Drosophila melanogaster: one gene and its partners. The gene in region 2 interacts genetically with the main gene of each other region. Each region holds a gene or a part of one and is shown on either strand. Other genes may lie near its edges.

What was found.
Region 1: of drm (region 2) and bowl, changing one suppresses a phenotype caused by changing the other (phenotypic suppression), as found in Drosophila melanogaster (one study listed by BioGRID).
Region 3: of drm (region 2) and upd1, changing one suppresses a phenotype caused by changing the other (phenotypic suppression), as found in Drosophila melanogaster (one study listed by BioGRID).

Annotation. Positions count from the first base shown.
Region 1 is NT_033779.5:3,769,941-3,773,693, forward strand, and holds the start of bowl (brother of odd with entrails limited), read left to right. Parts: upstream 1-1,759; 5' UTR 1,760-1,933; intron 1,934-1,979; exon of another isoform or gene 1,980-2,075; intron 2,076-2,085; exon of another isoform or gene 2,086-2,376; intron 2,377-2,520; 5' UTR 2,521-2,754; intron 2,755-3,753. UniProt on the Drosophila melanogaster protein: Putative transcription factor. Required for leg joint formation, acting downstream of Notch to pattern the leg tarsal segments. Functions in the terminal pathway during embryogenesis, acting downstream of tll in the posterior of the embryo.
Region 2 is NT_033779.5:3,538,050-3,541,802, forward strand, and holds the start of drm (drumstick), read left to right. Parts: upstream 1-1,683; 5' UTR 1,684-1,928; intron 1,929-3,753. UniProt on the Drosophila melanogaster protein: Putative transcription factor. May function redundantly with odd and sob in leg joint formation during the larval stages, acting downstream of Notch activation.
Region 3 is NC_004354.4:18,307,238-18,310,990, forward strand, and holds the start of upd1 (unpaired 1), read right to left. Parts: upstream 2,055-3,753; 5' UTR 1,572-2,054; intron 1,023-1,571; exon of another isoform or gene 500-1,022; 5' UTR 363-499; coding exon 6-362; intron 1-5.

The DNA of each region.
Region 1 (3,753 bases), 230 kb from region 2:
GGTAAGGGTTAGATATTAGATATTATTATTAAACAATAGTCAATTTCAATTTTATGTATTGTGGAATCCAATTATAAGGGAGACCAATTATGGTAATTATTTATTTTATTTCTTATTTACTTATTGTTATTTATATATGCTGAAAATTATTTTCCGAGTGCAGCAAGAGCAACAGTTGTTGATGGGGGAAGTCGACGACGACTAGCATAACAATTCGCTCGCCCTATGAGGCAGCTACCGTTTTTCCGTCTTCTCTTTTCTACCACTTATTTCTGGTCTTCTGCCTGTTGCCGCTTTGTATCTCCATTTCCACTTACTGTTTTTGCAGTGGCAGCAGCCACAATTTAGTTCCACTGTGCAGCACCTTAATTACATGGCTACGGACTCTCTTTTGTTGGGTACTTTTCGGGTTTTTCTTTTCTGCATCTCGGAATCATTACGACCATGATCACCGTCGTGGCCGAAACGTAACTCCCTCTACTTTTGGGACCCTAGCTGATTTTTGGTCTTTTTGTTAACGTCTTTTCTTTTACCACTTGACCGCATTGATGCTGCATTGCGAGCAGAGGTTGCCAGATTGTTAGAATAGAAATTTTACAGTCTATTATAATAATATAAGACCTATTTACATAGCCTAGCTCGAATCAATCATTTACCTATGTTTTATTTTTTTCCAAGTTCCCGTGCTCGCCTTCTTTTATAAGGACTAATTACCATTAATAAAAGTCAGTCTGGCGATAAGATGGTTTCTAGACTTATATTGTTTTACGACCTATTTCCATAAATGAATTGTATAACTCGGCTGCCGATTAATCATCAGTGTATATTTAAATACATATGTATAAATATTTTTCCCTAAAGCTACCAACTAATTATTCCAAATAAATATTTACTTATCAGTAGAACATTGGAACTTGTCATAATATAGATATATAGTCGTGTGAGTAATGCACTTTATTTCACCCCAACTTTCGACTTGGCAACCCCTTCTTCGAAGAAACCTTATCACCTTGCCTCCCTAAAAATGCTTTCTGATTAGTCATTCCCCTAAATGAAACCGCAACAAAAGCCGAAGAACAAAATACACCCCCACTAAAAAGGCATAACAATAAACAGGGAACTACCAGAGTTACACCCTCCTCCTCCTTTTCGGGTGAAGCCACCATAACGATCCATGGGCAGCAGCAGCAACGGCAATCTGGCAACACCCGGGCCAATTGTACCCTACCCTCTCGACTGGGCCAAAAAAAAAAAAGCAGTCGGTGGTAGTCGGTAGTCGGTCGGTAAACAGGTAGCGCTCTAACTGACAATAACTCGTCGTACGAATGCACGTTCCACGCTCCGCCAGTGCCAGTCTCCATATAAGTCCGTCCACGGGCCCATCCGTCCATTTAGCAGCGTGCGACTGGCGGCCGGTTGGGTTTGGGTTGAGTTCGGTTTAATTCCTCTCCTCCACTGAAAGAAATGTCGTACTATATTCAAACTGAATATAAGTTACTAGTTAATTCAGAAAAATATGTAAATGCATCCATTATTTATCTAGTATATTTAAGCAGATAGATTTATACTGTTGTTATTTACAGAAAATTAGAGCCTTACTCTTCAGATATTTAAGAATTGTTAAAACTTTTTCCACAGTGCACTAAGCTGGTTTTAGTGCCACTGCTCGCTACTCGTCGCTTGTCTCTTTCTACGCATTTCTCAGCCCGCGATTCTCTCGATTCTCTCTTTTTCCATTCGGGCCCTGTTTCTTGGGTTCGTGGCTCAGTCTTCGAGAGTTGATCGTGGCCAACGCACCTGCGCGCGGATCGCTGGTAATAGCTGTTGGAAAAGTGAACTGCATTGTGAGTGCCTCTCGCTCTATATCTATCTGTATCTTTCGCCGCCGATGTATCTTATTGAGCGGGCCCAGAGCGCTAGTGTGTGTGTGTGTGTGAGTGAACTTGTTGCATCGCCAGTTGCCTCGAGAAAAGCGCTTTTCAACTGCAACTGACTCTGTGTGTGGGAAGAGTTTGGGACTACTTGAGGAGCGAATTGGTAGCTGCACTGGCTTCAGCTCCTATTTCAAACAAAATGTAGAAAAACACATTTCAGCTGCCGTGTATCTCTCGTTCTCGTTCGGTTTTCAGTTCGTTGAGGTTGAGGTTTCGGTTCGGGTTTTTCTTCGTTCGGTTTTCATATCTGTGAGATACAAATACATCGTGTGTTTGTGCGCGAGTTGTACGTGGATTTTGGAAGGAAAAAAACTACGTGGTTTGTGGTAGCTGACTGCCGTTGATGCTGCTGCTGCTCCCGTAACCGCCCCCCTGCCGCCCCCTCAGCCCCACCCCCTGGGGCGATCGTGCCGTGATTTGAATCTCAAAATTGTCCCTTAGTGTGCGTGTTTTTTTAAATACATTTACTTGAGAATGATTCGGTGAAATACTTGTTAAAATTAAAATCAAACCTGAAAATATAACAAAAAATTTCCGACAAATATTTTGAAAATTTTAATAAAATTATTTACTTTTAAATTCACAGAATCGTATTAACAGAAGTCTTCAAACAAATACAACAAGAAAAAACAACATACAATTCAAGTGCCACTTAAATGATATAAATTACTACTTTAAAAACCAAAAACAATGCCAAGCATTTCAAAGCTTACAAACTGACAAAAAACCAGCAAAATCATATTGAAACAACTACTTGGATACTTTAGGACGCAAAGATAAAGCCCAAAGAGCCTGGGGCTTTCTTCTGTTTAACCCACAGGTAAGATTCCGCCGAGAACAGGCCCTGCCTTCCCAGATGAACACAAAAATTCCACACCACTTATTTTTACTTGTTTTATTTTTTGTTGTTTTTTTTTTTGTTTTCTGTTTGTGGCGTAGGGCTAGCTAATTACGTTTATTATTTTTTTATTTTGGTATTTTTTGCGTTGGCCAAAAAGGCAGCGAGTACAAAAATATAACGAGTACGCAGACAGAGAAGGAGAGAGAGAGAAAGACCCAAGATATATCTCAAAACCTGCTCCACAAATAGAATGAGACGGGGCGAAAAAACAGGAAAGAGAGCGCAACAACGTTGGCGGTTGGCGGACTGTCGACCGACAAGCGGCTTCCACTACAACTGCATGTGCCACTGTCATTGCCACTGAACTCAGTGTGGTGCCGCACAGTCCACGGTGGAGTACGTCCCCCATCCCCCCGCAAACTTCCCCACCATCCTGAACCACCCGCTTGCCCCATTGTTGTTGCTGTGGCGCTCAGTTCGAGTTGGTCGGTTCGAGCCGGACTCGAAAAACCTTCGCTTGGAATTCTGGGGGTCTCTTATGGGTGCTCTTGGTAAGGGTACTTCGTTTGAAAATGGTGTACACAATTTGTAAAATATTATTTAAAAATATTAATCGGTGTTAATAACGTTACATTTCTGAAAAACTTTAATTTTACAGAATTTCAAAGCATCGCGTTAGGTTTTAAAAATATATTTTACGAAATTTAGGCAAACTTAGTTTAATAAGCTGATAGTTTATAAGCTTCTTATTTATTCCAGTGTTTTTTTTTCAACAAGTCTACTCTAGTTTGATCTATAGTATTATTTACTTATTTTGCCTAGGGTATTAAGTGCATCGGCTTTATAGATCGTGATTTTTCACATGTTTCTTTCATTTCTGTTTCTTTTCTTTGTAAACCAGTTCACTTGTAGCCAGTGCCAGTGGCCAGTGGTCGCTCTCGCCGTCTTTTTCGCTCCTTCTCGGCTTGGAATCCGGTT
Region 2 (3,753 bases):
TAGTTTCTCCTTCAAAAGGAAGCTCCTCACAATTGTCGATACGTCTCCTTTTCGAGTTTGCTGATTGGCCATTTAAAATATGCAAATTTGATCCGAAAAACAATAAGACAGATGGACACAGATGGAGTGAAACAAAAGCGAGGCGGACAGAGATGAAGCCATCAAAGTGGAGTTGCCAACGGATTGCACTTAAAAATGCCCAAAAGCAGTCGAAAATAATTTGTTAAGCTTTATGGACAGGCGAAAACTTAATTAAAAACAATCCTTTTCTGGCGCACCTAATTAAAAACACTGGGTGTTAAGTTAATGAAGTTTCTTGCTGAATGAACGACACAGTTTTTCAGATTTCATTGAGAAATCGTAAAAGATAAACAGATATGGTGAGGCACAAAAGATAAACAGACCATCAATATGGTGTTTTTGTAGTATTATTTTTTCGGGTCTAAAGAGGCCACACAAGCAGAAGAGCGACAACAAAGGCGGAGGCGGCAAAGCCAAAGGAAATGCGAGAAAAAAGTTTCTCAGGCCCTGAAAACAAAATGGAGCTCCACAAAAAAAGAAGATAAATACACTAAAAATTGAGCACTGCGTAATACGGTTGCTCTGCTCTGCCACTGGTTTTTATATTTGGCCTCTCGCTCGCTCGCAAAACGGGTTAAGAAGCAGTTAAAAAGGGGGTGAGCGAGCGAGACGGCGCGAAAGAGTGGGACAGACAGAGCGCCGCCCAAAGCCACGCCCACATCTATAAAAATATACACAGGTATAAGTGAAAGAAAGTTACCTTTTTAGCCAAACAGCAGCTAGAAAGACAGAGAAGAAGTCCGAGGAAATCCAAAGAAATCGCAAGCTTATTACAGCCCGCATTATCCAGCACACCTTTCACTCATTAGTCGCCTAAACTTAATTGAAATGTTGGCTTACTTAAGCTTAATTAACAGTCAACTCAGGTAACGCCTTCGAAACCACTCAACTCAGGTAGCCTTCTCTCGCTCGCTCACTCTCCAGTTTTCTCAGTTCGCTCTTTAGCTCATTTTCCTCCGACCAATCAGCTGAAACACTCAAAACTCGTTCTCCGCGACCCAAACAGTGCGTGGGAAAGGGACAGCCAACCGAGAGAGGGCTGTAAAAAAGAGGGTAACCAAAAAAAGGAAAACAGAAAAAGTTCAACCCATCAAGCTGAAGTTTTCGATCGTAACTTTGCAGTTGACTCTCGCGCACAGAAGCGTTCGGAAGTGAAATATATTTTATTAATAATATTACCCAACACAGTGCTACCAAACAGAAATTGCATACAATTTGTGTCTTGCCAAATAGCAAACGGAATTTCGTGCTTTCGCAATAGGTAAGTGACGCCATTTTGTGACTTTTACGCTTGGCTTCCGTTAGAAGAGACGCCATTTTGTGGCTTCCGTTTGCCAGCTTCTGTACTTACGCATAAGAACTTAGGGCGAGCGAAAGGGATGGCTAGCGAGCGCTGCGCATGAGCAGTAGCTTCGGCTACCGGTCTTCGTTTTGCTTCGTTTCTCTTCGGATGACTCACACACACTTACACACACTCACACAGTGCCACCGAATTGAGTAACAGACAGGGACAGAGCGATGATCTCGCTTCCTCAACTTGCCAGCAGCGACGCCGGCAGCGACGCCGACAGAGGACGGCGGCAGAGGCGACTACTATTTCTTTCAGTTATTAGTAGCATTCATTCATTCAACTTTGTGCCGCTCGAGCGTGCGTATATAGTTCCCTCTCATCAGTAACAGTATCAGTAACAACATCAGTAACATTTCCTTCGCGAGTACCTTCAAAAGAGATACAAATCGATCTATCCATTCAGCGGACATACGAAAATCGCACAAAACTCAGCTATAGAAATCGGTTAGCCTCTACTCGAGTCCGAAGAACGCGTAACTCCAGTGCATCCCATTGGGTAAGTCTTTCTTCAGCTCCTCTCTTCAATGGCGTTCTTCGTGTTCTTCTGTTCGTCGTTCTTCCCCCTTCCACACTTGTTTCGCTACCAGTTTTACGCCGCTTTCATTGGACAACTGAAAACTGAGCAAAGAAAAGAAGAAGTAAACCCCACACGTAACACGGGTGCGTGTATCGGCCTCTCTTTCTGCCCGGGCCTCTCACTTCGGCTCTTTAGTGTGCCAGAGGGAGAGGGGCGATGCGTCTAATATGGCATGCGTGTGGCCAACGGAGCTTTTCGGCCTCTGTGTGCGTGAGAAAGTGTCGCCATTTGCCAAAATGGCGGACGCCAAGTCCGAATATTTCCCTATTGGACTGTAAAAAGTTTTTACCCGCACTTCTTGACACGAATTCCCCAAAATGGGTGATCTACTTGAAATACAACCGAGTTTATTGATCTCTCATTGTATAGTACAAATGTGTTATTAATTTCCGAAATGAATGAAGAAGAAATAATTTGTATCTCATAAAAAAATGCTCATTAATTTTCGAAAAGAAAACTATTTAATATTATTTTCTATTAAAGTTGGTCTAAAAAAACATTTGAGCTCTCTTCAGAACAAATATAAGTTTTTATTGTATCCTAAACTTTCAACCTGTTCTATTTTTAAAGGTTTCAGTCGTTTTCCATTGAAATTGTCTAGGAATTGAAAACTCTTAAAGCCGTCGGCATTTTTTCAGATTGAAAGAATAGAAGCTGAGAAGTTTAATGAGTCAGCATTAAGAACAAAAAGCCTAGTTTGTCGAAGGTTGATCGCGGACGCACAAAACACGGCAAATCATCGCCAAGAATGTTTGGCATATCATCATCAGCCGTTTTGGTACAAGTTATTTGCCTATGAGTCATGGAGTTGTGCTTTTTTCATTGGATTATGAAATACCAATGAGTACGGCTCAAGCTAACAACAGATGTTCAAAAAGTTGCGTCAAAGTCAGGTACTTTGAAATACCTGAGATTTGGCACTTGTGCGAAAATTCCAATGAATCTGGTGCGAAATCGCAGAAATCAGAACCCATATTCTAGGGGAACTTTCTGGAAGTAGGACTAACATTTACAATATAGGGAAATTCGTTTAACATAGTTATACTGAAGTAAAGTTGTTGTAAGAGTTTCGTGACCTCTGAAATTCTTACTGCTTTCCCGCGACCATTTCTTTCCCGTCTGTCTGATCTTTGACCTCGTCTGGACCTCCCGCTGCGCTCCATCAATTAGAGTCTAATTAGCTAAGCGATTACGGTAAATGGGCTCAGCTGGCAGCTAATCTGCGCCGACTTTTGAGCAACTGTCATATCTTACGGGCTGAAGGTGAGAAGCGTCCGAAATCGACTTGCTTCGGCCACGAAATTCCCATCCGATTTGCGATGGATCTAGGGAAGATCGCTCATACCTTGCCGCATTGTATCTTTGTATCTTGTGGTGTGTTTGTGTTTGGGGTTACGAAGGTATTCCTTTGTTCGCACTGAAGTGGCAGTGCCACACATCCTAATTGTTTCCACCGACTTATTGGTTCTGTTGTCAGGCCAGGATCTCGTGTGTGTGGGTGTTTTTCCCGGGAATTCTGCGCCATTAGCACAATTAGATTCGTATCAAATGGACTTCGGTGCCTTTGTCTTCAGAGCCTTATGTCCTTTTATTGTCATTTTTTCTCGCTTCGGTTTCTTCTTTTCACTTTTCGGTTGTAATTTTTAATGGCACCTTGCCAACTCACTGTCCGCCTCCTACAAAAAATAAAGGGATGACCACGGTGCGAGGTGAAAGAAGTGTGGTAATCGCTTTCGACCATATC
Region 3 (3,753 bases), on a different chromosome or scaffold from region 2:
CTCACCTGCCTGGGACGCTGGCGATTGAAGCGATCACCCGCCGAGGGATGATAGTTGCCACCGCAGGGATTGGCCCACTCCAGGGCGGTGGTGTTCTCGTCGAAGTTGCGATAGTCGATCCAGTTGCTGTTCCGCTTTCTGTGGCGCTTGCGCGGACTAGCGGCGCTGGCAGGGATCGTGCCCTGATTGGGATGCTGAGCTGAAGCCGTACTGGAGGTGGTGCGAATGCGCAGGCGCTCGCTATCGATAACCGTTAGACCGCCGCTGCTGGTGGTGCTGCGCCCCTCGGCGAGGTGGGGCAACTGGGCGGCAAGGAGCAGGACGAGTAGGATGGGCAGGAGCAGGAGCAGCGGACGAGCCATCGCCGCATGGTAGCCACTTTCTCTTCTGCGCCGGAATCCGTTACCGCTACCGCTACCGCTTCCGCTGATGTTTCCGTTTCCGTTGCCGGCTGCCGTGGTGCTGTTTTTAGCTGTGGTCGCAGCGCACTGCCAACCAACTACTGTCCGCGGTCCGTATCGAAATCAGTGTGCAGATACAGCGAACGGGGTTACAATATATATATATAGGATATATGTGAAGGGTGGGGATGGGGGGTCAGAAGGGAAGAGATGTGGAGAAAAAACACTATGAGTATCGAGAATGCAAAAGTAAATTCAATTTTCTGCTACAACGCGCGACGACCAACGATCAACTGCTATCACTGTTCCTCCCTGACTAGATGGTTAACTAACTGGACTCCCTTGGGAGTGGATGGGTTACTGGGTGGGATTGGGTGGTCGGGTGCTTCGATGCTGGAGCTCTGAGGTGATCGGGATTACGGGTCGGATGATCGGCCGAGCCTCCTTCAATGCGAATGCAACTGCAACCAGACAACAGTCTCAACAATTTGGTTCGATTTTTTTAACATTTTCTCTATGTTTGTTTTGCGGTTTTTTTTGCTTTTCGTTGTTTTTTTTTTTTTGTCTTTTCCAGAGCGATATGTGTGTATATTGAGGGCGGGGAAACTTTTTAATTTAGACAATTAACTCGAGAGTAGCCTGAGCGAATAACGAAGACGTATCGATCCAAGTTTCGAGGATCTAATCTTCTCCAGGCGACAAATCTCTGCCTTCTGGCTTGGCTTGGCTTTAACTTCCAGTGTGTGAAAGTGTATGGAAACTTTTGAGGTTGAATTTTGGATTTGGGGCTAATTCTAAAATTTGAACATTTCAAATTCTCCATTCAAGTTAGCTACTTTATCTGACAGGATTAAAATTCGAGACTGAAGATCGTTTGCTGCTAAAAACGAACGGAAAGGATTCGCACAAGTAACAATATCCTGAATGGATTTGCATTTTAATGCAGAGCGAATTAATTAAACTATATAATTTAATCCTAATTCCCAAAATTGCAGTTGCTGTCACAGAATGTCCTTTTTGCTTAACAGTAGATCGTTGGTCGTTTCTTGTTGATAAGTCACTTGAAGAGTGGAGAATTGATATTGACCAAAATATCCTTTTCGATCGCTTCTCCACTCTCCAATTGTGCCTGCTCTTAAGTCTTGATCAAATTAAAAATAATACACACACCGCATTATAGATGAAAAATGGAATCGTTCAGGATCCTCGCGGGATCCCCGTGGTTTGTGCTGCGCCTGAGCTCCCAAAAGTCTGTACGTTAATCCAAATGTTCGATGATCGTTCGAGATTCGTTGTTCGTTGATTTTCCGGCGGTTTTCAATGGACACACTTGCAGCACAACACTCGCAAAAAAATGTATTTATATATAATATTTGTGAGACCACTTGACCACAGATCGAGTTCAAATCCGTGCTTCAGTTTGTGTTCTGATTTGGTGATTTCGATGCTTTGGAGACTGATTCGCGGACACTTCTGCTCGCGTTCGAGTGTGAAACCGAACTGAGCCCAAAGTCGCGCTGGATTTGACCAGCTTTCTTCGCTGAGAGGCTGCGGATACCAGATACCAGAATACCAGAGCGATACCGACCGACCACCGACCAACCGACCGACCGATGAGCAGCGCCAAAAGGCCGAAACCGAAACTGAAATGGGAACTGAGGCGAGCTGAGCGGCCTCTGCCGGCGTCGCTGCCCGCCGAGTGCCGACGAGCGGTACGCCATGGTCCGAGCCAGAAGAAGACCGCCGATTCGGACCGATCAGATTCAGATCCGAAGAACCGCAGGCTGTCCCGCTCCCGCGCCCGCTCTCACCGATCGTATTCGGGGTATCCTATTCCCAGGTCACCTGCACGTGTGTGCGTATGCGCCTACCTGGCCGAAGTGTGTATTGGTGCCGTCTTTGAGCCTGCCAACCGGCTGTCCTCGCGCGCCATCCCGCTCGCTCCTGCGGACCAGGGCGATCTTGGGCCGGTCGCCATTGCAACTGGAATTTTCCCACTTGCCCAATCCGCGTCACTCACTCAAAGAGCGGGAAAAGAAGAGAGGCAGCCTACCTGGTGCCCCAAAAGACCAGGCCTACCTGGCTCTGTCTCACTCTTCTAAGCCCGGTCAGCTAGGTCCTCTCTCTCTCTCCCTCTCTCAAACTCTCTGGGTGACCTTGAGCGGCCTGCTCACCCCTCCCAAAAAGTCCTGACATTCAAATCGGTCTAGAAAGTGATCAACGGAAATGACCAACATAACACCGCTATTCAGCTCGCTAATCCAGGTAAACTATCCATTCGAGAACTATCCACGAGGAACGTTAACCAATATTACATTTTCTTCAACTTTTTCTAACAACTAGTAAATTGCTATATATTTTGTATATTAAAATTAATTTAGTAATTATAAGGAATAAAGCGTAAAATAGGATAAAGCACTAAGGAATCAACCAATTGTGCAGTTACAATTCTTCTCAATACCAGTAGTAATATATATAATAATACATAATATATACATTTTTATAGTAATATTATTTATACGTGTTCGAACCACAATCAATATAACTGAAGTAGTGATTTTGGCACTCACAATCTATTATATATGTATATACCATTCAAATTCATTTGACATGATTCAAGTTGTTTAAATGAAGTTAATAATATACATATATATGCCTAAATCTGTTCGTATGGGTAATTAATTAATAAAGATTTACATAAAAATCGTAAAACATTAAGTTGTTTCATCATTTTTTGATACATTTATAACTCACCTCAAATTATTTATTTTGATAATCGCAGCGCTGATATTTGACCATCTCGATGAGTTCGGCTTGATATTGTCGCAATTCCGCTTTGGGTGGGTAACTAGAAGAAGAGTGTGAAATCTCTGGCCAGTGGGCCAGGTACTCCCAACTGGCGAACCCCCGGACGCCCATCTACCTAGGACATCCCTATGTCAAATATGCCCATATTTCTCCCTACTTTCGAGGGCTTGCACAATTGACGGTCTAATTAAATTGAGAGTTTTGCTGCATTATGGCCGCATTGTTTTGGGCAGCCGAAAACAGCTGTAGATGGTCAGATAGCGGGCCGAAACGGACAGCGGACGGTGTGTCCTTGCGTCTAACCGTAAGTGCAGCGTGCAGCAACTGCTGCAGGAAGCAGTTGTGTTGCGCAGCGGGGCCACTCGCCTTTATTTCGCCGCAAGGCAGGACGGACGCACAGGACTCGAATCTCGCAGGACCCACAACCCACAGAGAGGGACTCGCTCGCATATATCACATATATCAAGGTGGCAGCGCACACCTTTTGTGCGACCTCTCCTTTGGGAAACGGGCGGCAAGGCACAAAAAGGGCAATTCGCACCCG